4 linked regions of the Drosophila melanogaster genome follow. The protein of the gene in region 4 purifies or fractionates together with the protein of the main gene of each other region. This does not show direct contact. Each region holds a gene or a part of one and is shown on either strand. Other genes may lie near its edges.

Region 1 (7,104 bases), on a different chromosome or scaffold from region 4:
GGAGGCAAATGTCCGGAAAACGCTCGCATAAGCCATTTGAAGACCACCCGCAGGCTAAGGAAAGATATGTCGTGAAATGGGTGAAATAGCTGTCTAACGAAAAACCCAATCCCAACTCACGGCTGTATCTGAAGCTCTCGGAAATGGGACCATAACTGCGGTTCGTATGTCTGCAGCAGCTTCTCGAAGAGCAGGCACAGACTGACAATCCCTTGAGGATGCGTGTTTATGGTGGTCAAGCGATGGCAGTACCGGATATAGAAGGCCCGGAATGTATAGTATAGACTCACCGGCGAGTCATACAGATAACAAAAGGGGGCGGCAAACATGCAGATGCCGTGGAAGGGCACCACACCCGATGGAGGACCTTCGTAGGTCTTGCCCTTCACCGGAAACGTCTCGTATTCCACACATCCACCGATATCGGTGTCCCGAGAAAAGCAGAGCAGCACCTGGTAGAGCACGTCCTCGAACACAAAGTACTGGTCGTCGTTGGAGGCCGTCAACTGAATGTCCTTGAAGACCAGTTTGTCAACGATGTGATCCGTAGTCCAAACGGCATTGCGCAGCTTTTGCCAGTACTCAATATCCTTCGGGGGTATAGAGATGTATAATGAGGTTATTGATCCCAAAATCAGTAGTTACGTAGTCATGTAGCTTGCTGTCCAGCACCGAAGCCCAGAGAGCTCCCCTATAAGGTGCGGGTGTGCAGCCCTTCTTCAGAAACTGCTGGCACATGGGCGCATGCCTGGCCTCCAGAATCCTCTGGCACTGAACCGTAAGATCCGGCACTCCCAAATAGCTATCACTTCGCAGCAGATCCGCGTAGTGGGCACGCAGCTCGAAAAGATTTTTCACAGGTAGTGCAATGTGGGAGAACTCCCATTGGGGGATTTGACTAATGAGCAAAATGATTATTTACCTGACTGATTTAAACCAAAACTTACTCTGTATTTTCAGTGGTTTTGGCGGGTCCTTTTAGCGAGAGTAGCACCTCCAGTAAATCCTTTGGAGCGTAAACAGGCCTATAGTTGGCCAGATCTAGAAGTTTAACCATGGTTAATTGTTAGCTTCAATATTTACGAAATGCCTACCCATATTGTAGTTGCTCAGTTCGTTCCACTTGGCCATAAAGTCCTCGCGATCAGCACTGATCCTTGGTTGTCCATGCAATGGAACCTTCAGCTCTGTACACATGGCATTCAAACTCTTCCTAACCCTTCGATCCCAAAGCACACCAGCTCTTTTTAAATATCCAAGTGGATCACTAACGGTGGGTTTCTATTGGAAAATATAGACATAAGTAAAGAACTATTTAATTCATTTTCCCTAGCACTACATACTACTAATACCCCTAAGGCTAACTCTATAGTTGTGGCACTTCGAGATCTTCCGGTATTATGTATCATTATAATTTGTTTTATAAACGTTAAGGTATAAAATAAAATTTTGCCAATAAAGTCAAAAAGTAGAAAATGATAGGAGCAGCATGGAATACTTTTAAATACCACTCCAATTATTCTAAATTCAATTACAAGAAATTTGATAAATTGTATCTTAAAAGTTGTACCCACCGCTCCCTGTTTGTTGGCCAGGTTTTTGTCATCTGTTTTCGACAGCCGCGTGCGGACCAGGTTGTAGACAATATTCCGGATCTCCGTCTCCAGTCCGGCGCTCTTGATGGCATCCTCGAGGGTGTTGCGCATATCGTGAGTATCTACGCTGGGATTGCAGACCAGCTTCTGCAGCTCCTTGTAGATGGGCTCGTAGCTCTTAGTGTTCTTGATGGCCGCGATTACCTTTGCGGTCATATGGTGGATGCTGGCATCCTGCAGCTCCTCCATGCCGATAGCTCCTTGACCCGACCGTTCTTTCTACGTATTACTCTGCCACTGACTACCAACTAACTATTTACACCGTTTTGATACCGATTAGCCCCAAAACTTTGGGCGCTCCTAACTCCGTCGTTTGACTTTTATCGATCAAACTCCGTCGCCTGCTTTGATTTGGAGTCGATTCGATTCCGAGTCACATCCTCGGTTGTCGTCGCTTCTTGGCGACGGAATGCAAACACTTGTTTGGCTGCTAGTTTCGCGTTAGTTGTGATTTGATTCGTTCGTTTTGCCGCCCCTCGCAACCAAGAAATTCCATTATGTTTCGTTTCGAATGAAAAGCCAGAGGCGCGTGAAATTGCTTTCCATATACATTTATTTTCACGCACACCGAAACACGCTGAAACTGAAACTGAGTGGCGGCAACTTTTCCTTTTTCTTGGCATCTGTCACCTGGCCCAACGAGTTGTTGACGTGGTCGTCGGGTTGGCTCCTCCTGTTGATTGCGAAGGTGGGCCAAACTCACCTGAACATGTCAGAGTGTCGAAAGTATTTCACCTGAATATTTAGACCAGGCCGAAATATGATTTTGAAATGGCAAAAATTTTTACACGAAAATAGAGATATATAATCCTCTATGTGGTACATTATTCAATGTTTATTTATGAATTAAAAATATTCGTTTTAAGATTTGGATAGCATCCCTTACTACGTTCCAATCAATTTATCTATAATATCATCGTTCACGAAAGTTCGACCTTTTAGTTGGCGGCTTATTGAGGTAAAGTTCTCTCCCTTGGCATAAGGAGGACCATTATTGGTATCCAGAAAATACCTGCCTCTGGCTCTGCAATTAAATAGATAAAAAGAGATCTGGAAAAATAGGTGCTGGCACTTACTTCGGATCCACGTGAAAACCCATCAGCTCTATATTTTTATCAGGAATGCAAATTCCCTTTGCGAAGCTTTTAAAATTGGGACAGTAGAAGCCATAGAATCCAGAAGGTGACGAAATAGACTCGGCATAATAGTCTGCTGCTCGGTTATGGTAGCAGAAATGAGTCTCCACTAAAGTCAGAACAACGAAAATGAAAAATATAGGTAAAGCAGATGGCCTTAATATTACTAACTCTTATTAATGGGTCCGCAGTTGGGCTGTGATACACCCATGTTCAAGTAGAAGTCCACGTGACCCACTGCATCCAGTAAGCCAAGCATCGTGACATCCGTGTGCACGACGTCCACGAACTTGGCATCAGTGGGATCGAGCTTTAGAGCCGGATCCTTGACCATGTAAAATGGTTTTGCCGGATCGAGGGCTGTAATATGCTCCAGCTTGTGTTCCGGAAGAAACTGCCCAATGAAGCCTGCGACATGGGCACCTAAGCCCAAGCCAATTAGGTGCAGATCCTCAATTTTGACCAATCCGCTCTCGAGGAGTACTCGTAGCAACTGAGCAGTACAGCGAGCTACGTATTTGGCATTGTGCACCGCTTCCGTATAGCAGGGTTCATAGGCTAGTTTTGGATAATCCAAGGATATCAAATTGTAATCCTGTGTCAGGAACAGCGGACGTAGCTGGGTATTGGGACTGAAATCGCGGTGCCCGTTGAATCCATGGATCAGAACCTTGAGCGGTTTGTGGTGATAAAATTCAAAACGATTAAGTTCAAAAACTGAAAGCTTAGTTCCCTCCTGATTTTCTTTTCTGCAGATACGGATAGATAATGAAAATCATAGTATAAAACCATTAATCTTACGTGTATAGCCAAAAGGAAATGTTGGCATTGGGACAAATTTCGTTTTGCAGGGAAAAACAGTTCATATCATCTAAGCCAGCAACGAGCATAACACTCGAGAAGCCTAAAACACGATTACTTTATGACTTTATTATTAACTCAGCCTGAATTACCTATTAAGACCAAGATGTTATTCATCATTCTCTTCGATTCCGTTGAGGCCTTTACTGATTTTTTTATTTTCCGACTTTATATGCTCTAGGTTCCATAAAATCTTTTTAATTAAGTTTGTCTCGTTCAACCGAATAAGTAACCGGAAAGCTTTTCTAATTGCAAAATATGTGCATCTGTAGCGCCCAGGGAGGAGCAGTAAAATATTATAGCAGTGGAATTCTGCATAAAAGTTAAATATGATTAAATTATAAAAAGAACAGAAATAGAATTTTAAAAATCAATTTAAAAATAAATAGGAAGTCAGTAATTAATTAATTCGCGGTTGACTTCGCTCCTGGGCAGAACAATTTGCAGTGGTAATTACATCGTAAATCTAGCCTTAAATTTCATGCCACCAAAATGTCAGCGTTCGAATTAGAACTTATGCCACAAGTGTGGCCAACACTCAACTCAAGCTATTTATACAGATACACATTTTGGGCATTGAAAATTATGCAAAAACAATCGAAGTGCCACTGTGTGAGTGCACTGTGGTCGCCAGAGCAACCCAACCCAACCCAACCCAACCCCTCTTCCCATTGTGCCATTCCGTCACCTCACTGGGACATTCCAAATGTGTTTCACGTTTTGTCATAAATAATAAAACTCAAATGACCATCAAAGCCACTACTGTGCGCCTTTGCCAAAAAAAAAAATGCCGCTGCCGGAAGGTTACCCACTCATACAGAACTATCCAAATTCGAATTCGCATCCAAATCCGAACCCATGCCCAAAGAACCATAGCATCCCCCACAATTGGCCTGTCCATCTAGCGTGATGTCCATTTGCCAGCCTGAATGCCTGTTTGTTTGTTTTAAAGCAAAAATCTAAAACCAAATCAACATTTTTCGAGACCAAAGTGGAGAGGATGGAGGTTGAGGATCGGATGGGTGTGTGGTTAACCGCAGCACTAGTGGCTATGGGTAGAGTGGGTAGCCAGCAAGTAGTCAGCAAACGGCAAAGAGCCTGTGGAATTGGCTGTGGACCAGCCATCGGCATCTGGCCCACACTCATGATCATATGGACAAAAATTGCTATAAAGTACTAAAAATACAATTACCGTGAGAAAATCGCACTGATTTTGTGACTGATTGTGAAGACGTTTATAGTCGATTTTTAGTGACTGACTGAGTGACCGACGGACCAGGCCATGCACACATCTCAACTCGCCGAAATATGGATGCGAGGGTGTACCTATATCTGTATCTGTATCTGTATCTGTATCTGTATGTGCTGTATCTGGTGTATCCGTTGTATCTGCTGCTCTTTTGCATAATTGTGGCGTGCGCTGTGCGCTCGTTTTTCCGGCTGCCAGCGCCAAAGATGATGGAGATGACGTCGCCGTTCTGCCGCCGACCTTAAGGCATCAGTACCCTCCCACCTTACCCAACCCCAGCCAATACCCAACCAATAACCCAACCAACAGGAGGCAGGCAGTGCACCTGTAACACTTTGATCTGATTTAGATCAGCGTCTGGCCAGAATCAGTCTGCGCATCCGCCTCCACCTTCACCTACACCTCTGTACCCACCGCCACCTCCACTAGTTCACATTCCAATGGCTTGGTTAATAAAGTGTTTTGCCGAAAAGCCAAACCAACAATAACCCATGGATGGGATGCTCTGCTCCGCTGCTCCTCTGCCGACGAGGTGTACAACGCTGCGTATGAGTGACGCTTCCACTAAGCGAAATTTGTTGTTTATAAATAATGATCTTGGCCAGGCGATCGGTTTAGTGCGCGCCCGCAGGCCAACGCAGTTGGAACGCATTGGAGATTGGAATACTCGCTCGCTCGCAAATTGTCGTTTGGCCAACAGATACAAAATGGTATCTATCGGGTGTTGTTTTTGCATTTCTCTGGGCGGGTGGATATTGTGCAATCGATTATGATGTGATCGGGCTAATTTTTGGTAACCGCAGGAGGACGACGAGAAAATGGACATCATGCGCAAGGCATTCCAAATGTTCGACACACAAAAGACGGGCTTCATTGAGACGCTGCGTCTGAAGACGATCCTCAACAGCATGGGTCAGATGTTCGACGATAGCGAACTGCAGGCTCTGATCGACGACAACGATCCGGAGGACACCGGCAAGGTTAACTTCGACGGCTTCTGCAGCATCGCTGCCCATTTCCTGGAAGAGGAGGATGCCGAGGCCATCCAGAAGGAGCTGAAAGAGGCCTTTCGTCTGTACGATCGCGAGGGAAATGGTTACATCACCACCTCAACGCTGAAGGAAATTCTCGCCGCCCTCGACGACAAGCTCTCCTCCAGCGATCTGGACGGCATCATCGCTGAGATTGACACTGATGGATCCGGTACCGTGGACTTTGATGGTAAGTATTCCCTTGTAATTAACAAATATGTGATGCTGACTAATTGCCATTTTCGATCACAGAATTCATGGAGATGATGGCGGGCGAGTAGAAAAACCACGAACGCTGATAAAACCAACAGAAAATCGAGCTTTTGGGTTTAATTATAATTTTTTATTATTTTTAAATAAATTAACTAACCGCTTTAATACAAAACTTTAGTTCTTGTGGTCTGCGAGCAGTAATAATGAAACAGAAAAAAAACTGAAAGATACATATCCATCTAGTTCATATAGTTTACTTGTTGCTCTTACAGGCTAGTCATCTAACTCTAGCTTAAACAAGGTTACATGATAAGAACGATAAGATATAAGTTAAACGGTTACAGATAAAGATACATATATAGTATTTACAGAATCGCTTATAACGATAATATATAATATATATACTATATATATGTATGGTTAGCGGCCTATAAACATCTTTGCTATTTACACAAAACAAAAGAGCCGACACAAGTGCACTTCTCGAGATACGCAACTGCCAGTTCTATATATCTCTGGTTATAAATACAAAAATATGTGCTACTAAAAGGGGAGGAAGGGAGTCGGGCTCCTGTCTGTTGGCTCCTGTCTTTACACTTTGTCTTAAGGCAACTAATTCCGTGGATTTTACAAAAGGCAGCATTTACTTGCACAAAGTCTGCAAAGTTTACACTTAAACACTAGATACAAACAAAACATATAAGGACATGTTCTATGTTGAGGCTAAAGCCTCGGGGGTCAAAGAATGGGCGACTTAACTCGTTTAGTTAAAGCGTACAAAAGCTGGCACAAAAATTAATGTATGTTACATATAAATTTCGATTCTTTCGATTGATTTTTTGTTTTGATCTCATATTTATGTACATCGACATGAATAGGTGTCATCCAAAATACTCCCTATATTTCTCAAATAGTTAAAGCATTTTTCTAACCAAAGATTTTGCAAGGGGCCTTAGTAA
Region 2 (7,249 bases), on a different chromosome or scaffold from region 4:
ATCTAATCTGAAATGAGGTGTAAAGATGATGTTTTCGAAAAGTGCCAGACTAGCGAAGAAGATGGAAAGTTTTACATTCAATTTTCGGTCTGATTAGACAGCAAAACATTACCGAAAATATAATGTTTTCTATGAATCAATTGTGGACCCAATCTAATCTGCGGAGTGGGAGTAGGGCTCACCACCAATCACGTGCGTGCCCAGAACATTGGCAGTGGTCATGATCTTCACGCAACTGGGTATTCGAAATAAAAGCCAGGGCCAACGGCCAACTATACGCTTTCTGCTTTCGATAAGGAATTTGAATAGTTACTCGATTTAATAGGCATCATATAGATTTTTGGATCAGGAAATATCACCTGGCACAGTTTGGTTAACATATTTTACAAGATTTGCTCAAACTAATCCAGTCTTTGTGTACATTAGCTATAAGAAATACTGACTACGTGAATTTAAACTGAGCGGGAATTTTTTTTGAGGCTTAGCTTCTGCTGGCAATGAACTTGCGGCGACCATGGATGTACCACATGGTTTCGTGGTAGGAGCGAGGCAGCACCTCAGTAACCGCGTCTGGAGCGGAGAAGGTATAGTGAAACGTGTTAGTGGTCACGTGGTTCCCCGTGTACGCGTCCAGGACTTCGGCAACAGTCATGATCTGCAGGTAGTTCTCCTGGGTGTACACCACATACGCGGTCATCTTGATAAAGCTGTTCACGCTGACCGGCTTCTGGAAGCTAATGTCCGATATGTGCTCCAGCGTGGGTCTGGCCTTGCAGTAGAGGAACGCTGTTGCCCAGCTAATTTCCAGGGCACTGCGCATGAGGAATCCCCCGAAGACAGTGTTGTTTTGGTTCCTGTGCTCCGGGAATGAGGGAATAGTGCTCATCTGGAAGGAGTCGTGCATCCAAATGCAGTTGGGAGGCAGGAGGCGGCGCGGACCGGTTTGCTCGTTGGGAGTAGTCCTTTTGTAGAGTTTGTAGATGAGAGATTGTTCCTCGGCGTTGGGTTCCACCTTGAAGACGGACTGAGCGATGAGTAGCTGTCGTTGCTTCTTCCTGTCGGTCCCGCCAGCTAGGATGCGCTTCTCCTCCTCGTTGGCAGGCTGAATGGGATTCACTGGAGCCGCAGCTGTGTTGGTGGCATTTCTCGCCGCCATCAGAAACAGAGCTCGCGTGATTTTCTGATACTCCTCATTGACAATCTGCTCCAGCCATACCACCACCTCCATGGAACTGGTTCCCACCCAGGACACGTGGCCAGACAGACGGATGTCTTGGGTGCCCTGGGGTGAGACACTGGTGAAGTCGATCCGGTCCACCAGGACCGTCACGAGGGAGTACGGCAAGGGTACTCCCTCTGGCAGATTGGGCACTTTCAGGTGCCTATTACAGCACCAAGCTACGAAGAATTAAGCAGACAATTATTCAACAACATGGCTTTGGCCAAACTAGATGGTACCGGCGAAGATGTCCATGTCCTCCAGAAGCCTGCCAAGGCGCGCGAAGCCTCTAAAGTTGATATACTTGTCCTGCAGAACTGCATTCGTGCTCAGAGGAATGATGGCCGAACAAAACGAGTCCTGCATAGATCGCGCAGGTAAGTCCTCAAACTTGGGTTGGTACTTGAGTAGATCCTCCCTGGACTTCGGCTCCGTGGTGAACCCAGGCTCCAGGCCGAAGCTTTTCAGCATCTTCTTCTTGACTAAAAGGGATATCTGGACAAGTAGCACCTATTTCTGGAATGGAAGTACTTACTCTCCGTCATAGTGGCGTATTGACCGTCCGCAGAGGAGTTACGCCCATTAGAGCTAGAAGAAATGTGGCCTATAAAATCTGATTTCTGCTAGTTGTGTTGGTGCTTCACCTGGAATTTTTATGTGTCATCTTCCTGAGGGTCCTGGCCTTTAACAAGCTCCGGCAGCTGCGGGCTCCGAGCAAAAAAGGTACAACACATAATTTAACATTTCTAAGACCAGGCCCCATGGAAACGGATCGGGATCGAGATCTGAACTCAGATCCGACACGAAATTAAAACTATAAATTTTGCTTCAGCTCTGCTTTTTTGATTACAGGTAATGGGTATCCAAAAAATGTAAAGTCGGCAAAAATTAGGGATTATTTTGACAGTTATTATATTAATAAACATTTAATCTAGTACTCTTCGATAGGGTTTAATAGAAGATTTTAAAAGTTTTAAGCTGGTTGGTTAAGCACATCATTAAACAACAGACATTTATTGCTTTTTGTAAACACTGAACTGGTAATTGCATTTATCTGGTAGGATAGCCTTGCATAATATCTTGAGTAACAATCACAGGCTGAACCATGTCTACACTGGGCCCATGCTGGCCTCGAACTTTCGACGACCTTGGATGTACCACATGGTTTCGTGGTAGGAGCGGGGCAGCACCTCGGTAACCGTGTCCGGAGACGAGAAGGTGTAGTAGAACGTGTTGGTGGTCACCTGGCTGCCCGTTTGTGGGTCCATCACATCTGCAACGGTCATGATCTGCACGTAGTTCTCCTTGGTGTACACCACATAGGCGGTCATCTTGATGAAGCTGTTCACGCTGACGGGCTTCTCGAAGCTGATGTCGGATATGTGCTCCAGCTTGGGTCGCGTTTTGCAGTAGAGGTAGGCTGCTGCCCAGCTTATCTCCAGGGCACTTCGCATGAGGAAGCCTCCGAAGACCCGGTTGTGGTGGTTCCTGTGCTCCGGAAATGAGGGAATAGTGCTCATCTGGAAAGAGTCCTCCATCCAGCGACAGTTTGGTGGCAGGATGCGCTTGTTGAGTTCCAAAGTGTTGGTGGGAGTTGTCCTTTTGTACAGCTCGTACATAATTGTCTGCTCCGGGTCATTGGGTTCCACCTTAAAGATGGACTGAGCACAGAGAATCTGACGTTTCTTCTTTCTATCTGCGCCGCCAGCCAGAATCACTTTCTCTTCCTCGTTGGCCGGCTGTAAGGGGTTCACAGGAGCCGCTCCGGTATTGTTAGCGTTTCTTGCTGCCATCAGGAACAAGGCACGGGTTAACTTTTGGTACCTCCCGCCAACCATCTGTTCCAGCCACACTACCACCTCAATTGAACTGGTTCCCACCCAGGAAACGTGCCCAGACAAACGGATATCTTGGGTGCCTGAAGCCAAGACATTGGTGAAATCGATGCGGTCCACCAGAATGGTCACAAAGGTGTACGGCAGATGAACTCCCTCCGGCAGATTGGGCAGAACCAGGTGTTTATGACAGCACCAAGCTGGAAATAGCGGATAGTGAGAAAGTGCGCCAAGATTCCAGCAAATGTGTTCCTCATACCAGCAAACAAGTCCATGTCCTCCAGAAGTCGCCCGAATCGCACATTGCCCAGATAGGTCACATATTTGTCCTGCAAACTGCGGTCCGTGCTCAGAGGAATGATGGCCGAGGTGAAGGAATCCTGCATAGCTCTTGGAGGCAGATCCTCCAGCTTCGGCTGGTACTTGAGCAGCTGCTCCCTGGATTTGGGCAGCGGGTTGTAACCGGGCTCCAGCCCCAATCGCTTCATCATCCCCTGCTTGACTGCAGACGTTCGGGGATTACGATGGGTTTGACTCTGGCAAGACAACACTTACCCTCCGCCATGGTTCCGGATTCATTGGCGACCGCTGATTGCTTGATATGCGTGGGCGGTGAGTAGTGACGCCTGTTAGAGATGAAAGTACTCATTTACCATGTAAGCTCATCATTTATTTTTTGCTCTTACTTGAACAATGCGAAGGATGCTGGCACCTGTTTGGTGGGTAATTCCATAAAGTTCCTGGTGCGGATCAGGCCCCAGCACTTTTGTGCTCCTATCAAAGAACGCATCATCTCGGTTTAACTTAGTTTCGCAGCTTTCTCCTTGCTTTTCAAGTTACATACAAAGTGTAACCTGTCTTTGATCTAACCCCAAATAGAAAACAGCTGGCGGCCACAGCTGACTGGTACAGTGGGCTCGAGAAAATTCGTCTCCAACTAATTTCGAAAAGTTCGATTCTTTAGTATATTAATTTTTTCCCATTTACTTTAATTAAATTGATTTGAGACTGACTGTTCTTTACACAACAAAGTCTTCATTTAAAAAAAATCCTAATATATCTCATTATTTTCAGTATTCCATCAACTTGAGCCCACTGTTTACAGAAGTGATACATACGTATGACGTCATCCCGATTGTTGTTAATTTTAAACTGGGAAGCGAAGTTCCCTAGACAATTTCTCAAATTAACACATTGTTTTGTGATGCATAAATTATGAAATTAAGAGATTGTACTGTTTGAATATTGACTAATTGCTACTGTATATAAAATAACATATTAAAATTAAAATAGAAAATAGTCATCGTTTGTATAAACTATATTTGCAGGTATAAAACCTTGATATTTACAAAAGTATCTTGACCCGAACGCACTTAACGCAGATATTCGACCAATAAAACAAAAAATTATGGGAATAGTAAAATCCAAATCTCTACGCTTACAGATTTAGTTCCTTGAGCGCAAAGTTCAGCACCACCGGCAAAATACCAGCATCTTCCAGATCCAAGATCTGTTGCCGAAGGTTCTCCACCGGATGGGAATGTATCATCTGCAAGAAGAGTTAGAGTGACAATAGAGCATTTCGTTAAAGTGCGCGGTTCGAGCATACCTTTTTGATCTTTTGGCGTTGCTCGCTGCTCTGGCAGAAGCTGAGTAGAGAGGCGGCCATGTGCGGTCGATGGACGACGATGCAGAGCTGGGCGAACTGTAGCAGGTTGAGGGCGTGCACCACCGGACAGCCCTGCAGGCGCAGCAGCGTCTTGTGGAGCACCTCTTCCTGCTTAAAGGATCGTAGCTCGACTGCGTTCTGCAGAGGATGGCAGAGCACATAGTCCCAGGCCTGGGCCAGTCCATCCAGGTGAAGTAGATGCGGCCGGCAGCTGAGTACATCCAACAAGGCGTTCAGCTCGCGCACCATATGGAACATGACCATGCGCTTCAGAATGCCGTTCCAGATCTGCGGCAAGTGTATATCAAAGCCCAGGCAAATGTTGGCCATGACTTCCAGCGAAAGGGGATTCTGCGCATTACGCTGCCAGATCATCTTCAGAATGTCAATCTTGTTGCAATGGTCGTCGGAGAACTTCTCCAGGTTCGACTTGTAGCCCAGAGCCTTGAGCTCGTGCACACACTTGATGCTGATGAACTGGCGTTGGCTAATCGTGTTGGTAAAGGAGTTGCTGCCATCGTTTAGCTTGGAATAGCACTCGTACATTTGCAGCTGTGTGGAGGTGTTTACCGAACTGGTGGAAGGGTTTATTCAATGAATTATTTTCGCTAACTTTTAAGTACCAATCCTTACCCGCCCTTGAAGATCAGACCCACAAGGAACTTGACTGCCTCCGCCTTTGGCCAACTGGAAAGTATGTAAAACGCTCTATTTACGTTCTCGCTGGCGTCCTGGCTGTTGGAGGACTCTGCGCCGTTGGCCTGCTCCGGCCAGTTCTGCTCCTCCATGAAGGTCTCCTCCAAAATGGTACCATCACCCGCAGACTCCATAGTCAGAGCGAGCCACTTCTGTAGCAGGCGGTACTGGATGGTGGCTAAGCAGAGGTCGTGCAGCTTGGCTATCTCTGCGACCAGAGCGTTAATATCCACTTTGCTGGACTTGAGGATCAGCTCATGGTGGTAGAGCGCCTGAATAAGCTCGGTGGGGTTCTCAACTTGGCGCAGTAGCTTCTCATCGGTCAGGCCATAGACATACAGCAGGTGCTGGGTCTTCTGAATAGGATACCGTCGCTTCACCTTGGCAACCTGCTCGCGACTCTTTGGATCTGTAATCAGGTGGCCCTTCTCCTTGACAAACTTCCAGCACTCGTAGGAGGCCTCCACCTGATCGGCTCCATCACGAGCATAGTTGGACACGAAGTACAGTATTAGAAATGCCTTGTTTGGGTTGTTCACCTTCTCGACCAGTCGTAGTATTGACTGCAGGAAGGCATTATTCGTGGGATGAAGACTCCATGATTCCGAATCATTTTTCGACTTGTACTCCGATATCGAATTCTTTACTGCTGACATGCAGAAGTAGTCACAGTTCTGGGAACTATCCTTGGATCCCTTCAAAGCCGTGTACATCTGAATCAGTGGAAACCAGCTTTGGCAGTTGTCCACGTTTAGTTCGCTGTCTGAATAGAAGAAGCGGAAACTATAATTAAACAGAAGCATTAAGCATTAAACTATTTCAGTTGAATATACCAAGAATATCCTTAAGAGGTTGCTCTACGATGGGCTTAAAAGGCAGACGATATCGAGATATCTTCGGCATAACGCCATTTTCCCTTTGTGATTTCAGCCACGTGTCGGTTTCCACCTGACCTGGCCGATTGCGTCTTCTGGTGATCATCTTGTGTCTCAGGAAGTGCAAAATGTTCATCCAGATTTCCATTTCCTTCGGAGCCGAATCGAAGTACATTAGGATGTTGATCACACACATGTACAACTCGTAGAAGTAAATGTTGATCTAAACGATTTGCAAAGATATTAAAAAAAAGATTATTTGTGGCATCAGTGAGCTTACGTCTTCAATAAAGTGTTTTAACTTGGAAGTAAAGAGCTCGACATTATTGATTTCATTAATGTACGGTTGGCACATATCGCGCATTTCCTGGGCGCTGCTTAGCATAACCAGTTCCTCGTCGCCGAAGGTATCCCTCTTCACCTCGAAGCGCAACTCCTGGGCGCTCAATATGCTTAGTATCTGGGTAATAAGAATCTTTTGGTAGTCGAACCCAAAGTCCTTGCTCATGCGTTCCAAAAGCTGAACGTCAAGTTGCTTATTGTGAAACTCCTTAAGCAGGTCCTCTATGTTGTCCATGTCGGCATTGAACTTGCCCTTTATTCTATGATCCTGTTGGCAAAACTCCAGGTAATAGAAGAGTTTCAATCTCCTGCAAACCAATAAAACGAAGTTTAACATCTAGACTTTTAATGTAATACTTCACTTACTTGGTGCGTATCATGTGCACACTGTCCAAGTCTTCGATATGCTCGTGGTACATGGCGGATAGTGTCAGGAAGTTGATTTTTTGCAGATCGGTCTTTACTTCAACGGAGAGCTTCTCCAGCAGCGCTAGTGCCTCGCTGTCCACCACCAACATGGTGAAAAGCTCTATGAAGTTCACATCTTTGCTCCCCATCGCATTTCGGAATATGCGGCGCAGCTGCAGCGTAATAAAGCCCTCGTTGATGATCC
Region 3 (7,760 bases), on a different chromosome or scaffold from region 4:
TGAGAGTTTTTTAAACAACATGCCTTGGTTTTGCGTAAATGTATCATATTCCATTTGTGATAAGTCTAATAATGCAAAGTTTCAATTCCATAAATTTTATAGTTTATTAGGAATTTTATGTAAAAAATAGTGTTTTTTTTTTTGCTCCGTCCGTTGGCCTCCTCGTAGTAGGGCAACCTCCTGATGCGCTGAGTCCAACCCGCCAACTTTGGGTATTTCGTGGCATCCAAATCACTGATTAGTATCGTACGTGAAAGCACTGCGATGACGTGGAAATCAGTGATGGTGTTGGGAACTTTCCAGCCAGAAAGTCATTGCTTTCCAGGAGCAGTTCAAGTGTCTTGTAGACCTCATCCAGTGCATCAAATCTAGCCTTGGGTATCTCTGTCTTGCCTCCCCCTCAACTGGGAAGCTCTCTTAAATTAAGAGAGTTTCGCTGTGCTGTAATGACTCGGCCAGTAAACCAAATTAGATGACATCAGCCAATATTTCCGTGCTCTTTTAGTTATCAGAGATTTTTGACGTAAGAGAGCTTTATATACGATTTTGGTTCAAAAGCTCTTACCGCCTGCTCTTTTTACATTCTAACAAACAATGCTTAGTTATCAGATATTGGTTATAACCCAGCAATTACCGCTAGCTAAATCAAAGTACTAAACTTATTGATTCACATGCATACTGTTGACCTCTTAGTAGTTTTAATAATAATTTAGTTTTACATATTTCTCTAAATATATAAGCGCCAAACATTTTTCATAAAAATTTCATTTAAAATCCATCAATCGTGTGCAAACTACATATGGTGATCCATATATCATATCTGCCTTCACATCTTATGCAGCAAACACAAAATAAACCAGTAGTTTCTCTTATCGATTCACTCAAAACAAGTTTGGACTGATATTAAGCAAAATTGTCGTACAAAAGTCAAGTCGTTATGATAATTGTTGTTCTTATTTATTTTTGTCTATACTAAAATGCCTTAAACAATAGTGAACTTTTTGCTCTTGATGAACTCGATGATTTGGGCAGCACGAGAGCCATTCGCTTCCTCGTAGTATGGCAGCTCCTTGATGCGCTTGATCCAGGCAGCCAGCTCGGGATACTTAGTGGCATCTACAGGCAGGAACACGAAAAATCCTGTCAAGCCGGCGATGACGTGGAAATCGGCAATGGTCAGGTTGTCGCCGGCCAGATAATTGCCATTCTCCAGAAACAGATTGAGGGACTTGTAGACACCCTCCAGGGCATCGATCCTCGCCTGTGGAATCTCCGTCTTGTTCTCCCAGAAGAGCGGAAAGGTGATAGCCCTTCCTGTCGAGGTCACCACGCTGGAGTCGTAGTGCAGACGCTGATCGACAATGGCTCGCTTCTTCAGATCCTTGGGGTATAGAGAATCATTCCGGCCGTACTTGCTCACCAGGTAGGAGTTAATAGCATGGCTGTCGGCCAAATAGAAACCATTATCATCCAGAGCGGGCACGGTGTGCAGGGGATTGATCTTGAGGAACTCTGGCTTCAGGTGCTCCTTCTCCATCAGATTGACGATCTTGTAGTCGAAGTCCAAATTCAAGGCTCTCAGCGTGAGCAGCACCGAACGGACCGGAGGACTACCGTCGATTCCGTAAAGCGTAAGTTTTCCCATGTCTGTAGTGTGCTGTAAGGCGATTGACTAGTAACTGCTTACTAAACGTCGAAACTTGGGGCTTTATATAGCCACCAGGTGGTGCTCTTCACTTAAGAGAGCTTTGCACATCTGTGATGACTCTGCAGTATGTCATACTCAATGCTTGGAACCCACATATCTCTTAGCTGTCGTATACGTAATATATATACACTTCACGTTTTAAAGCTTTACAATACAGAGCGCTTTTGGTCACATATTAAACATTTCTATTTGTTTACTCATCGTTTTGGGATTTAAAGACCATTGTCATAATTTAACCGATAAGCCAGTTGATTATATTAAACAGTGAAACAGCAATTTTTGGAAATTAACTATCTATAAGCAAAAAACTGATCATTTAAGTTTTTCCATCTATATATTTCTCTTTTATTATTTCTCTCTTTAGGATTCAGTACGTAATGATAGTTTTATTATGATTCTAAAAATGATAGGTTTTTGTTACAAATCAGTTGTAGTACTATTCGATTTGATTTGTTTTTATGGTATTTATGGCATTTGATGGTATTTTTTTTTTAATACAAATTACTATTGCTCCAGATTTAATACGGGTTTCAATAAATTGATATACTTCTTCAAGCCCCGCAGATTGTCTTCCTCATAGTGGGGCAACTTAGAGAGTCGTTCGAACCAAGCAGCCACCTTTGGATACTTTAACTCATCCAGATCAAGAACAGCGGCCAGCGAGGATGCAGTAGCTCCGCAGCATAAATCAGCTATGGTCAGTTGCGACCCGGTCAAATAGGGATTATCCCCTAGAAAGTTCTCCAAATGGCCATATGCATCTTTAATGTTGTCCACCTTCTCCTTGGGTACCAGGCTTACTTGGCGAAGAAAATAGGGTATACTGACATTTCGCAGCGACATAAACAGAATGCTGGCATCAAAGAACAAACGCTGATCCACCTGGGCGCGCAACACCAGATCCCTGGGATATAGCTCATCCGAATTGGCATACTTGTCCACCAGGTAGCAGACAATAGCATGTGAATCCCAGATAAGGGCACCATTATCTTCGAGGAGTGGTACGGTGTGCTGCGGGTTCTTTTTGAGGAACGCATCCTTAAAGTGATCTCCTGCCAGTAGATCCATTTCCTTGTATTCGTAGTCCAAGTTTAAGGCCCGCAAGGTCAGCTTGCAAGCGCGAACAGGAGGACTAATATCCATGCCATACAAAACCAATTTATCCGACATGATGCGATCACCAGAGAGACCCAAGTTCCACTAAATTTGCCACACACAGAAATCTAAACGAGCTTAACTAAACAACCCAATTGGGTGCGCTGAGCTTGCCCCATTTGTATCTTAAATAAACTTTTGTAATTGTACACTGACGATATCATAAATGAGCGATAAAAATATTACGGTCGGGTTCCCCAACTGTGAGATAATAATTACTGACTCAAGTCCCATATTAAAGTTTATAAATTTCAGTATTTATTATAAATTCAAATATTTAAATAAATATAAATTAAATAAAAAAATAAATTAAATATTTTATATATATGTTATATTTTATTGAAGAAGTTTACGTTTTAGAAATGGATGTGTATGTTGTTAATTGATGGAATTCAAACTTGTGAAATGTCATATTTAAATATAAGTTTAGTTTCACTTGTCGCCCAGCTTGGTCCACTTGCTGCGCAGGAAGGCGACGTAGCTCTGGGCCGGAGCTTCGTTGATCTCCTTGTAGTAGGGCAGCTTATTGAGGCGATCCAACCAGGCGGTGACCTTGGGATATGTAGCAGGATCTATGTCCACGGCAGCGGGCACGGCGCTTACAGTGGGTCCGGTGGACAGATCGGCTAGGGTTAGCGAATCGCCGGCCAGGTAGGGGCTGTTGCCCAGGAACGTCTCCAGCAGCTTCAGACCCTGGTGTACGGCGTCCAGTTTTTCCTGGGGCACTTCGGTAACACCGTTTATCCAAAACGGGCGGCTGACATTGGCTATACTGGCATAGATTACACTGGCATCGAAGAAGAGACGCTGATTGACGATCGCACGCTTGGCCAGATCCTTGGGATACAGCTCATCCGACTTGGCATACTTGTCCACCAAGTAGGCGGCAATGGCATGGGAGTCCCAGATGAAAGTGCCATTATCATCGAGCATCGGTACCGTGTGTTGGGGATTCTTCTTCACATATTCCTCGCTCAGGTGCTCGCCCGCCTGAAGATTCACCTCCTTGTACTCGTAGTCCAGATTCAGGACCTTTAGGGTAAGTTTGACGGTCCTCACACAGGGACTGAGATCTGTCCCATAGAGTACAATTCCAGAGCTCGACATGATACGTGTTGTTTACCCGTCAGTGTTTTTCTTTCGACTGATCTCTCTATTTACTGTACATATATACACACCTTATTGCCTCAAGCTTTTTGCTAAATGAGAGAGCATTTCGTAAATCTAAGATAAAAGCTCGAAACCATGTGTTAAACAGTTAAAAAAAAACCATATATATAATATGTATGCCTATTTCATCATAACAAACATTAATTACCCCCAACTGATAGTTCTGGAATCATCTATATGATACTAATTTTAAAACACCATATGCAGTGGTGAACTACAAAAAACATATACTCATCAAAAACAAAGTAGGTCTCTGTGAACTCAGGAACATTGGTTGTCAGAAGAAATTAATTTAATACAGTTACTTGTTTTATGATTTATTGTAATATACATCTATTTGAATCATGTAGAACCCATGTAAATTTACAATTCAAGTCTTCCTAACGAAGCTTGAAAGTTTCTAAAAGCTTAAAGCTTAAGTTAAGCTGGCATAAAGCTTATCGTTATTTTGGATAAAATTGTATGATCTGATACACAGAAGTAATAATATTAAACTCATAATTTTATAATTATATTTATATGAAAATGTTTGCATAGAAACACTGCTAATGAGTCTGGTTACTTTAGGTTTCGTTTGGACGTTTCTAGCAGTGTATATAAGTAGCCCCTTTGGTGCTCCAACTATGATCAAATAAATCACGGGGACATTGATCAAATATTGACACAGCTAATAGATAGCAGACCGACTTATCCCGGACATTAATAAACAATCAGGCAAACTTAAACTTGCAGCATTATGACGTCTTTGTGGTAATTATCAAGAAACTAAGTTTAATATCTAATCTTATCGCGTTTGAAAGAAATTTAAATTATTTAGACTGCCTTGAGTCAGTTGTGGATGGCACACTGTCTGCTACGAATCTCAATTCAACCAGCTAGAAGGCAATTAGTTAAGCAACCACAATGGCTAACCTGATTCTATATGGCACTGAGTCCAGTCCGCCGGTCCGTGCCGTTTTGTTGACCCTTCGTGCCCTCCAGCTGGACCATGAATTCCATACGCTGGACATGCAGGCCGGCGATCATCTGAAGCCGGATATGTTACGCAAGAATCCCCAGCACACGGTACCCATGCTGGAGGATGGTGAGTCATGCATTTGGGACTCACACGCCATCATCGGCTATCTGGTGAACAAGTACGCCCAGTCGGATGAGCTCTATCCAAAGGATCCGCTGAAGCGAGCTGTGGTGGATCAGCGGCTGCATTTCGAGACCGGTGTCCTTTTTCACGGCATCTTCAAGCAATTGCAGAGAGCTCTGTTCAAAGAGAATGCCACTGAGGTGCCCAAGGATCGTTTGGCTGAGTTGAAGGATGCCTACGCCTTGCTGGAGCAATTTCTGGCGGAGAATCCCTATGTGGCCGGTCCTCAGCTGACCATCGCCGATTTTAGCATTGTGGCCACCGTGAGCACTCTGCACCTGAGCTACTGTCCCGTGGATGCGACCAAATACCCCAAATTATCCGCCTGGTTGGCACGTATCTCCGCATTGCCCTTCTATGAGGAGGACAACTTGAGAGGAGCCCGCTTGTTGGCCGATAAGATTCGCTCCAAGCTGCCCAAGCAGTTTGACAAGCTGTGGCAAAAGGCCTTTGAGGACATCAAGAGCGGAGCTGGAAAACAGTGATGCGGAAGCCATTGTCGCATCGAAAAGAGAGCATTGCCCAAAGTAAAATTGTATGTTAAATGGTATTTAATATGATGTATTAAAACTTACGCTGCTGGCAAAATGATTTAAAATGTATATTATGTTTGAATAATCTTCTTTTTTTCCCAGTGTATAGGCTCACTATATACTGTTCTGAGTTAACTGAAGACTTTGTAGCCATCTAAGTGCTCTTGGCCGGTAAATGTCCTTGATGGCGAACATTTTTTTTATGTTGTATATAAATTACTATCTAGCGTGGAGTGCATTTCCAATGGCAACGCAGCCAAAAGTTTACAACTTTTTTGCGCTCATTAAAATTATAAAATTTTACCCTCCACAAAAGCGACACAAAATAGAAGAGGGCGGGGTAAATGAAAAGCGCAAAGTTTTCCTGCCGTGTCGTGCATGCTAAAGTTGTTAAATCATAATTAATTTATGACGGCGCCATCCGCCCAAGCAGCTAGCCAGCCCAGCTCCGCAGCAAACCCAACTCGCCCCCGTTTTATGCCACTTCCAAATTTGCCTCTTATCTGCGCTCGGGTCTCGAACTCCCCGCCCTTCGCTTGCTCCAAGTCCACAAAAAGGACGCGCCGTCGTTTAAAATACTCTTAAAAAAGGAGCCAAGTCTAAATACCTGCTGGGTGAAGTCCGTTTCCAAGCCCCACGGAAGTCCTGCAGGAGATGCTAACGTGAGCGGAAATTGGAGTCACGCAATCCGAAGATATTTCTTATGAAGCAAAAATTCCAAAACTTTTTGTTTTTATTTTGCAGATGTATGGAAATCTATAAAAAGTACATGAATTTTCCATTTGTTTCTTACTTATTTTCAATTTCTTCCCTACTTATAAACCTTTGTTGGCCTTAAAACACAAATTTTTTTAAAGCATTCCCTTCCTATTTAAGCCCCAAAGAAAAGAAAAAAAATCATAAGCTTTAACGTTTTTAGAAACTCGTGACTACTTTGTGGGCATCTCAGGAACTTACCTTGTGTCGCCGCGTTTTATGCGCCTCATTGCAACGGCGACGAGAAAGTGGTGGCAGGCAAACTAATTGGTTTAATTTCAACTTTTACTTTGGCCCAACCAGTCAGCATGCCACCCCTACTTACCCCAAACTCACCCCATCTCGCCCCGTCCACCAACCAACCCCCACATCCTTGCCAGCATGGCTCCCCGAAAATTCCACCCATCGTGTCAGTGGCATTTGAGAAGTTTGCTTTGCTTTACGCTCCGCCTGCCACTTCAGGACGCTTTTACTTTTTCTTTTTCGCTTCTACAGGATTCCACTTGGCCGGTTTATTTCCTGCTTTTTATTTTTTTTTTTTTATTTTGCTCACCGTTCTCGCATCTCAATTTATCCTAGTTTTCATTAAATGAACAAGCTGATTCTTATATTTCTAAAGAAAATATAATACTCGGAAGCCATTTGAAAGCTCGTTTACTATTTTAAATGAAATTTATTGCAATCCATGCATATTTCACAAAAATACACTAAAAAAGTAGAAGGATAATTGTGAAAGCTAGTAAATTTTAAATTCAAAGCAAATAGCTATTCTTTTTATAGCTTAAACTTGATGCTTCGCAGAATGGGAAATTTTTCGCCAGCACACTGACCACGAAAATCATCCATGGACAGGTCGTGGAAGGCCACTCCGCCCAATCCTTGGGCATGCACAAATCCGGCCTTAATGGCCGCCGTCAAGGGATCCTCGTAGCCCACCCATAGGCCATTCTCCCCTTGATCATCCGCTGCCCGGTACGCATAGATGCCAAAACGCTTGGTGGGATCGCCCACTTTGCGCAGATGGGGAACCTCGCGATCCTGTGGTTGCTGCTGCAGCAAATCACAAATCTCCGGCCAGCTAAGCAATCCTGGCGTAACAGTTTGCCTTCCCGGCGGTGCAGCTCCATTTGCCGCCGGAATTGGTGGATAGCCGGTGATGCCGGAGTTTCGGGTCATATTCCAAGCTCGACCATAACTGGTCACTCCCACGTGCAGTTTGTGGACACTGATTTCGGATGTCTGGTTCATCCAATACTGCACCTGGTACTGCACATTGTGACTGGGATCCCGATCGTAC
Region 4 (8,470 bases):
GAAGTATCCTCGACGACAACGTGCTCGGCAACTATCATGTCGTTACCGTCCAACTCCGAGGTGACCTCCATCACCAGCTCCTCGAACTTGCGCCCAGTCTTGGTGGAGCCCACGCCGGCCACGCCCCCCGCTGCTGAAGCGCCAGCGGAGCCGTTGCCTCCTCCTCCTAATGCCGCTGGCATCGCTGCACTGGAGCAACTCTTGGGCGATCTGGCCCGTTGATCCACCAAACCCGATCCGAGAGATTGATTTGTGCTTATGGCGGATGCGGATGCCGATGCGGCGGAGGCGGATGATGGCGAGGAGGAACTGCAGGGCGACGTGGCGATCGGCACTGCCGTCGATGGTGGATGAGGTGGAGCACTGCCCTCCGGCAGATTGACCGCCTGTCCGTGAATCTGATTGTGCGGCGATAGGTGCGGGAACTCGTCGAACTTAAAGTTGAGCAGCCACGAGAGGTTCTTATCCTCGAAGTCCGCCTCGGTGGCTTCATTGGCCCCACTAACCGAACCGGATGAGGTGCGTCGGCCCGCCGACTGTATCCGCTGCTTCTGCGGCACCAGAAAATGTTGATTCTGATGTGGGTTCTGACCAGGAATGACATTCTGTTGTGTTGACTGCTGCGTATGATTGGATGCATTTTGAGCTGATGATGATGTTGGTGGTGGCGGCGGCAAAGTGGCATTCAATTGCCCCAGTTCCGCCTGCAGGCCGGAGTTATAACGATGATCCAGCTCCAGCAGCTCGCCACCGGTCCAACCACCATTGTCATCCAATGGAGCACTCGATGGTGGACAGTGCGAATAGGCGACGGCGGGCACCAGAAGACTGCTCTCATAGGAAAAGAGATCGTTGATGAAGGACGTCGAGGATTGGGCGGGTGCAGCGTTGGTTGGCGGATTACTAGGTGGCTGTTCCAGCTGCAGGTGGAAGTGCAGGTCCCCGGCATCGTAGTCCAAGTGTCGCTTCTTCCAGGGATTTGCCCCGATGGGCTCGTAGTCGTGGCCCAAAGCCAAATCCTCCTGATCGTCGAACTTGCGCTTAAGAAAGTTGTAATCACCGGGAAGATTAGTGTTCGTATCATTTTGATTGGTGGTACTGCTATTGTTGTTGTTGTTGCTGCTGGGATTCGATGTTGGGCTGGATGCACTGCCCGTTCCATTGACGGGCATGTTGACAATCATGATGTCCCGGCTGTCTCGATTTCAATCACGTTAGCCAAGCCAAAACACACAACTCACACTTGGCGAAAAAGAGCAAGTAACACGAAAAAAAAATTGACCTGCTTCGTCTGGGGGACGGACGAAGGATATTTCTTTCTTTATTTCTCAATCTTTAGTTTAGTCAAGAGCGGAAATTGGGAATTAGTCGGTCCGCACTGGCTAACTGGCTAACCGTCTCGCGCTGCGACTGGCCACGGAATGCGATGGGCCGCCAGGAGTCCAGACCAACTTGGCTGTTGGGCTGAGCTGCGCCTGCGCCCTCCTGCCACTCATCCACATTCACATCCACCACCCCGGACACCCAGTCATGCACATAAGCGGTACGTCTGCAGTCGATGGAAAGAGGAGCCGTACCTGTGATGGCGCAGGTACAATAAAATAATGCAGACACTTCACTGTATTATATTTGACATATTCGTTGATATATGTTTCAACCATATCACCTGCTTATAAATATATATTTATAATTTATATATAAATATGAAAAATATCAAAGCAAAGAAAGCTGTCATAGCTTCTAAATAATCAGTCGTGTACGCTGTACCAAGCTGAGTTTAAAAAGCAATCAAGTACCTCTAGGTACAACCACCCAGGTCTTGGCATCGCTGAGCCCAGGTCATGTGCCGCTGGTTCTGCTTGGTCGCTCGATTTGGCCATAATCGAACATGTGCGCCAAGCTGTCCGTTAGCCAATTTCGCGCTGACATGGGGCGGGGTGCGGTAGATAGGTTCTGGATCCAGGGTGCAGGGTGCAGCCATTGAAGCGTCTAATCGACGCTTTCATACACCATGCGTACCCAATGTCCTTCATACAAAGTGAGCAACCCACACAGGTGATGCGCCGGATAGTTTAAGGGACTACGGCTCCATCTGTCCAACCCGCTCGAAAAAAAAGCAAAAGTATCTCCCCTTTTACCCGTTTACCAAAAAATATGGACATTAGCAATTCGGGTTCTTGTTGATTCGTTTATTTATTTCCATTGATCACTGGTTGAATGAGTGTGTGAATGAGTGTGTGAATGAATGGGCGATTGCTTTCATGTTGGGGGGCTAAATGCATTTGCTTACAATATGATTTAAATCCTACTCAGTACAATTTTGTTTGACCAAATGATGCGATTAGTTTTATCCGTTTCTTCGTTCTCGGTAATTTAGGCTAATATTATTGAACATATATATATTTTTTATTTTCTTTTGGTTGTTTCTCGAGCTTTAGTTCAACTAGATCGATCGGCACCCTTGAATCTGACTTGACGTCTAAACATTTATGTTTTGTTCGTCACAGGACAATCTTTTGATTTACCTGTGAACTGCAAATGTGATAAGTTTTTAAGCATATTCTAGCTCCTTTGTATAGTTTCATTTGCCACTTTAATGGCCGCAAGTATGCTTTTCAATAATATGTGAAGAAGCGTCTCCAGCATCTCCAACATCTCTTTCTTCTCGATTTAAATAAATGTTGCTTATTCTTCTGACTGCTTGTAGTATTTTGAATATTTGAATTTTCTCCATTGTCGCCCGTTCTTTTACGTGTTGGTTAAGTTAAAGCTTAGGAAATGTTTGTTTTTTCTCAGCTGCAAAAATGTGTAAGGCAGCCGCTTTCCCTTTTGTTTTTCGTGTAGTCCATCTTCTTCACCGCACTCTGTTGCTTTCTCTTTCTTTGTTGTTTTGTAATCTCGCTCGATTTCGTGTAATTGGTTGTTAACTTCTTTTTATCGACGCATGTTTCAGTCTTACTACTGCCCCATTTCTAAACCTTAGTCCAAACCGTCATCGACGAAGTCGGCGGAGTCCTTTTTAGGCTTAGGCTCGCTCGGCTTTCCAGCCTTTTCACCCGCTTGGCCAAAGGCAGCACCCACATCTCCACCGGGCACAATCTTCTTGATAAGGTTGTATATCTTCGGGTTCGACGCGTACTTTGTGATGTTACCCGGATTTGACAAAATGTCCTACGAAAGTTAATAAATAACAACGATATGATTACTGCATTTGTATTAGAAATAGAAAAGTAGTATTCACGAACCTGAATGGCGGCTGACACCTCGGGATCTGACATGGCGCCCAGTATATCAGACATATTTCCGTTACCAGGATTCCCACCGGAAAATTCTCCAGATGATCCACCAGAGCTGGCATTGTGCTTTTCCTGCTCCTTACGTGCGCGCCTCTGATCCCGCTGGCGTTCCTTGATCTTACGCTCTGCCTGGCGACGCTCCTGCTTCAAGCGATGCTGCTCGATTTTCTTGGCATTCGGAGTGACCTCCTTTAGCCACTCGTCTGTCTCCTCGTCAAAGTCCAGCTTGCATGCTTGGCGCAAATCATGGGCAGCCAGCTCAAAATCTCCGAGGAGGCGACGGGCGCGTCCCCTGAACTTGTAGCCAGCCGCCAAATCCGAGTTGAGTTCCAGCGCCACGTCGCAGTCCCGAATGCAGGCATTCGGCTTCTTCAGCTTGAGGAAGGCCTGACCACGCTTAGCGTGGAAAAGGGCATTACCCGGGCTCAGTTCAATGGCCTTGGTGTACAAGGCGATGGCCTCGTCGAACTTCTGCTGGCCGTAAGCGGAGGCCGCCTGGGCGCGCAGCTCGCTCGCCTGCTCCACCTCCTCTTCGGTGGCCTTCTTGCTGTAGTTGCCCATGGGTTGGGCGGGGTCGCTGTCCGCCTCGATCACACCTGAAGGCGTCGGAAGTAATACGGATAGAAGATACATAGTTTTAATTGGCGTATTACATATATTAATACTGCAGGATTCGAATTTGGGTAAACGCTAAGTTTGCAGTGTCGAAAGGATATAAGATAAAGCAACTGCCAGCACTGCGACAGCAACGCATCAAAGTCCAGGGTTGTGACCCCCAATGACCACGTGACTCGGCAAAATTTGCACACTCACCCTCCATGTCCAGCTCCACGTCCGACTCAGGATCGGAGAGGGACTTTTCGTCCTCGCTATCCTCGGGGGCATTGGCCGGCTCGTTGGCCTTGGCACCAGCAACACCGCCGAATGGGCACTTGCTGGAAGAACAAGCCGCGGGATGAGCAAATCATACAATCGTGTTGTTTTGAAAATTGGTCAAATAGTTCGGTTAACTTACCCTCCGGCGCTGCCACCGTTGAATTGGCCAGGCGGCACCGTGCCACCAAACTTCTCCACGAAATCTTTGACGAACTGCAGCTGCGGCATGTTCAAGAAGGTGGGATTCTCAAGCGCAAAGTCGATGAAGTACTTCAGCTTCTTCAGATCCCCGGTTTGCATTGTGAAAGCCATTTCTGAATTCCGTTTTGTCTCGATGTTTTCAGATCTGATATATTAATATATTAATATTATTAATAAGCAATATTTGCTTAGCTTTACGTCCACTTTTGCTCTGCCCTATCGATTGGTATGCATAAATACCATGAAAAAGTACTGAGAATTAATCGACGGTATTTATCGCTTCGCTCTTGTATTTTTCAGTATTTTGTGCGTACGATAGTGCTGGAAAATGTGACAACTTTTAAAAAGATAACAGCCATTTTCCGCCACATACCCCAAAACTAAATACATATATATTCACATAGGATCGAGAATGTAATGAGCCACAATTAAGTCCATAACTATTGCTGAAGAAGTTTATGTCTGCCCCCATTGACATTAAAACAGTTTTCTGTTAATCATTTTAGTATTTTTTTATTTTCAATGTTTCGTCATGTTTTTTGTTTGCTTTTGTCTTTTGTTTTCTTGATGTTTTTTTTTTAGCTTTTTTCATTTTGTTTTGGAATTAATTTATTAATTAATTTTTATGTTTACTTATTGATTTAGTATCTTCTTCGCGCTTATCTCTGTCGTCGCCGCCTATTTCGTGTTTGCATTGTTTTTTTTTCGGCTTTCTTCGCCTTTTCTTGTGTTTGGTGTGTGTCTGGTTGAAGGGGTTAAGGGTCAGAAAATGGTGAAAACTGGTGGTGATGTTCGGGTATCGGAAGGGAGTGGGTGGTGTCGATGGCCTATTCTGAGTGCCCTTCTCTCCGTGCTCGCACGCATACAAATATTTTTCATATCCGTTCACTTTAAATAATTTTTTAGCATAACTATTAAATAATTTGTTTATATATAATACATACATATATGTATATATGCACACATATATGTATATTCAGTTTGTTTTTCGTAATTCGTTCAATTTAAACTTTTTAATTATTATCGTAATTATTTTTTAATAAAATACTCAACAAATAATTTAATGGGCTTTGTTTTTCTCGTCTGCTCAACTGTCTCATCGTTTTTTTCTGCTGCTGTTTTTATTTTTATTTTCGTTTTTTTTTCTTTTTAAGTATTTATATTTTGATTCGTTTAGTACTATTTAAACACTTAGTAGGTATTAATTTGTTTAGCTTTATACGCTTGCGTGTGTGTTCTTGAGTGTGACAACTTTCTCTATGAAAAACTCAATAAAATCGAAGAATTAAAGACAAATAAATTAAAACATCTCGTGGTTTTTTTTATCAAACATTTCGCTTGTTTATTTTGTTTCTCTTTTTGTTGTTTCTGTTTCTTGGTTGTTGTTGGTTTCGCTGTGGATCAAACCGAAACCGTTAAGTGATAATAAAAAATAATGATAATGGTAATCAAAATAATAATAATAGTTTCCTTTTAAATATGTATAATTTATAATTTAAAGATGTGCATTTTACATAATTATATAATAGATAGATTCGCTCTCATTCTCTATGCATCTCCTTTCATTATCTTCACATTCCTTGCTTTCCTTTATCTTTTATCAAATTAAATTAACACACACTCGCATCCAATCGTTATCGACAATCGATGACATCACATCGATATACACACACATTTAGATATCGACCATTATGGGCTAATTCTAACGGTTACATTAAACGGAAAAAAAAATCGGAATCATTATCCTCATATCATTATTCTTTATAGAGATGCAAAAAAAAAATTTAATCTTACAAACTGATTGGCTAAAATTAAAGGAAAGTACGTACATATACAAATTTGCATACAAATCTGAAATGGTTCTTCTGGTTTTTTATGTTTTTTTGCTGGTTTTCTTCATTAATTTAAACTTTAATTAGGCATAAATTATTTATATAAATATTTACAATGCTCTTTGCTATTTTTAGGGAGTTCTTGCCGCTGCTTTATTACTCTTGTTCTGCTTGCCGTCCTTATCTGCGTCCATTTTTGTTTCTTTCTATCGCGATATTTTCCATTTTTTATACTTATACTCTAAAAACTAATTTCGGGTTACTTTTCATTCATTTTGTTTTGCGTAGACTTAAGAAAAAAATGTTTTTCGCTTTTGGATGAATCTTGCATCTTTCACTCCCCGCTCATACTCTTCTGTTCCTCTTCTGATCTTTCTCTTTAAGGTTTTTTTTGTCTGGCTGTAGGCAGATTTCATATCGGTTTTACATACATATAGATCTATATATTATTGAAACATTTAGCTTGGTAGTTCATGTTTTTTTTTTGCAGGTTTTATATATGTATATATATTTCTATTAATATGCCTTGGATATTAATATTTAATACAATTTACGCATAGTGCATTACAATTATAATTTTAAAATTAAAAAAAAAAAAACATGTATATATATCGATACATATATGTGTAATTTTAATAAAAACTATTACATTAGTTTACTATGTATTTAGAAGTATTTTACTTCAAATAGGTTTATTTTCTGTTGATTTTTCTGATCCGATCTGATCTCATGAATTACGCTTTTTCTCGATTTTTCTTGCATTTCTACTTATTTTCTTTTCTTTGTGGCATATAAAAAAATGGTTTGATTCTATGAATTTTTCAGTTTTTTTTATCTGTGGATTTGTTTGTGGTTCAGATACGACTATATACAAATGTATATATATATGTATATATATATATATATATATATATATATATATATGTGTGTGTGTGTGTGTGTGTGGTGTTAATGTTTATGGTATTTTTATATTTAAATCAATTTTTTTTGGATTTTGATACAAAACAAACAAAAATGACTTTTATATTTCAAATTGAATTAAAATATAATTGGGATGTTTTTTCCGATTAAAAGCGTTAAAAGGAAGAGATAAATATATATATAAATATATTTATAAAGATTTACTAGTATGCTTCAATGTTTATGCAGATATATATATATATATATATATATATATATAAATATAAATTTATACATTTATATAATTTTTATATTTTATATATATTTATATATTTATATCATCATTACTAGTAACTATGCATGGACACAAAGTGAAAATTTACAGTTAACATTATTCGTTTTGTTTCTTTTAAGGCAAAATTAGTCTGCAGTGTCTACCTTGTGTGTATGAGTAAGTGTATTTTTAATGTTTGAACCACAATCACAATCCAGCAGATAATGCAATAATTTGTTATTTCCCATTGCAAATGTCCCCTATTCTCTGCGTCTTTGTAATCCTTTTTTGCGTTTTTTGCTTTGTTTGTTGATGCTTTTGCGACTCGCTGTGAATTTTCTTGGGATGTTGTTATTGCTGACGGCGGCAGTGTGGCAGGCAGCTCCTCGTTCTCTTAAACTCGCTTGTCATCATTCCCTTCATATTTTAGAGCAGCTCTTGCTGCAACAGCAGCTTGTGCTGCTGCTGTTGGAGTTGCGCCTGCTGTTGTAACTGTTGCTGCTGCCAGCGCTTGTATTTCCCCTGATAGGTCGGTGTTCCCCCTCCCCCTGCAGCTGCAGCAGCATTGGCAGCGTTTGCCGGCATTGTCTGCATATTGTTCTTGATGATGGTGCTGTTATTATTGTTGTTTTGGAAGTGGGCTGCATCCATCACGGTTTCGTAGCAAAAGGCCGCTGCATCTAGAAGCGTGGCCGCATAATTGCTACTGCTGTTTTGCAAATGAAGTTGCTGATTCTGCTGGTATTGCTGGATTTGGAGTTGCTGTTGCTGGTGTTGAAGTTGCTGTTGACTACTGGCAGCTAATGTAGCTGCTGCTACTGCGGCGGCGGCGAATTATGAGTTCGAATTGCGCTTGGTTGGCAGCTAGGACGAACTCGACTGATTCATATTGCCAAACATGTGGGCAGAGAAAGATGTCTGGCCTGTAGAATTGGCCTGTGACGTCGACGACTGTTGCTGCTGCTGTTGCTGTTGTTGCTGCTGCTGTTGTTGCGCCTGCTGTTGCTGATTGAGCGAACCGCGCCCATGTTTCGGTATCGGTGGCTGAATGTACTCGTGCCTGGCCAGTGCGAACACATCCATGCGATCCT

Evidence for each region.
Region 1: the proteins of HIP-R (region 4) and CG14034 purify together in Drosophila melanogaster (affinity purification with mass spectrometry, with the first as the bait; one large-scale study listed by BioGRID). This does not show direct contact.
Region 2: the proteins of HIP-R (region 4) and CG1635 purify together in Drosophila melanogaster (affinity purification with mass spectrometry, with the first as the bait; one large-scale study listed by BioGRID). This does not show direct contact.
Region 3: the proteins of HIP-R (region 4) and GstE10 purify together in Drosophila melanogaster (affinity purification with mass spectrometry, with the first as the bait; one large-scale study listed by BioGRID). This does not show direct contact.

Annotation. Positions count from the first base shown.
Region 1 is NT_033779.5:5,212,743-5,219,846, forward strand, and holds CG14034 (uncharacterized protein), read right to left. Parts: upstream 3,801-7,104; 5' UTR 3,773-3,800; coding exon 3,745-3,772; intron 3,696-3,744; coding exon 3,593-3,695; intron 3,541-3,592; coding exon 2,963-3,540; intron 2,901-2,962; coding exon 2,732-2,900; intron 2,680-2,731; coding exon 2,541-2,679; 3' UTR 2,447-2,540; downstream 1-2,446. Other genes in the region: CG7742 (uncharacterized protein), read right to left, coding at 1-54, 121-590, 646-898, 948-1,041, 1,095-1,281, 1,575-1,844; TpnC25D (troponin C at 25D), read left to right, coding at 5,609-5,611, 5,705-6,122, 6,185-6,213.
Region 2 is NT_033777.3:31,585,351-31,592,599, reverse strand, and holds CG1635 (uncharacterized protein), read right to left. Parts: upstream 3,928-7,249; 5' UTR 3,848-3,927; coding exon 3,741-3,847; intron 3,681-3,740; coding exon 3,610-3,680; exon of another isoform or gene 3,557-3,609; coding exon 3,314-3,556; exon of another isoform or gene 3,255-3,313; coding exon 2,329-3,254; 3' UTR 2,208-2,328; downstream 1-2,207. Other genes in the region: CG1638 (uncharacterized protein), read right to left, coding at 482-1,398, 1,459-1,701, 1,755-1,807, 1,864-1,982; rod (rough deal), read right to left, coding at 4,493-4,603, 4,664-5,297, 5,357-6,182, 6,253-6,517, 6,575-6,944, 7,003-7,249.
Region 3 is NT_033778.4:18,394,642-18,402,401, reverse strand, and holds GstE10 (glutathione S transferase E10), read left to right. Parts: upstream 1-4,009; intron 4,010-4,600; 5' UTR 4,601-4,783; intron 4,784-4,833; 5' UTR 4,834-4,936; coding exon 4,937-5,659; 3' UTR 5,660-5,764; downstream 5,765-7,760. Other genes in the region: GstE3 (glutathione S transferase E3), read right to left, coding at 983-1,645; GstE2 (glutathione S transferase E2), read right to left, coding at 2,213-2,878; GstE1 (glutathione S transferase E1), read right to left, coding at 3,296-3,970; Idgf5 (imaginal disc growth factor 5), read right to left, coding at 7,238-7,760.
Region 4 is NC_004354.4:3,786,178-3,794,647, reverse strand, and holds HIP-R (Hsc/Hsp70-interacting protein related), read right to left. Parts: upstream 4,680-8,470; 5' UTR 4,572-4,679; exon of another isoform or gene 4,519-4,571; 5' UTR 4,485-4,518; coding exon 4,312-4,484; intron 4,232-4,311; coding exon 4,110-4,231; intron 3,893-4,109; coding exon 3,246-3,892; intron 3,172-3,245; coding exon 2,980-3,171; 3' UTR 2,171-2,979; downstream 1-2,170. Other genes in the region: Tlk (Tousled-like kinase), read right to left, coding at 8,244-8,470. UniProt on the Drosophila melanogaster protein: One HIP oligomer binds the ATPase domains of at least two Hsc70 molecules dependent on activation of the Hsc70 ATPase by Hsp40. Stabilizes the ADP state of Hsc70 that has a high affinity for substrate protein.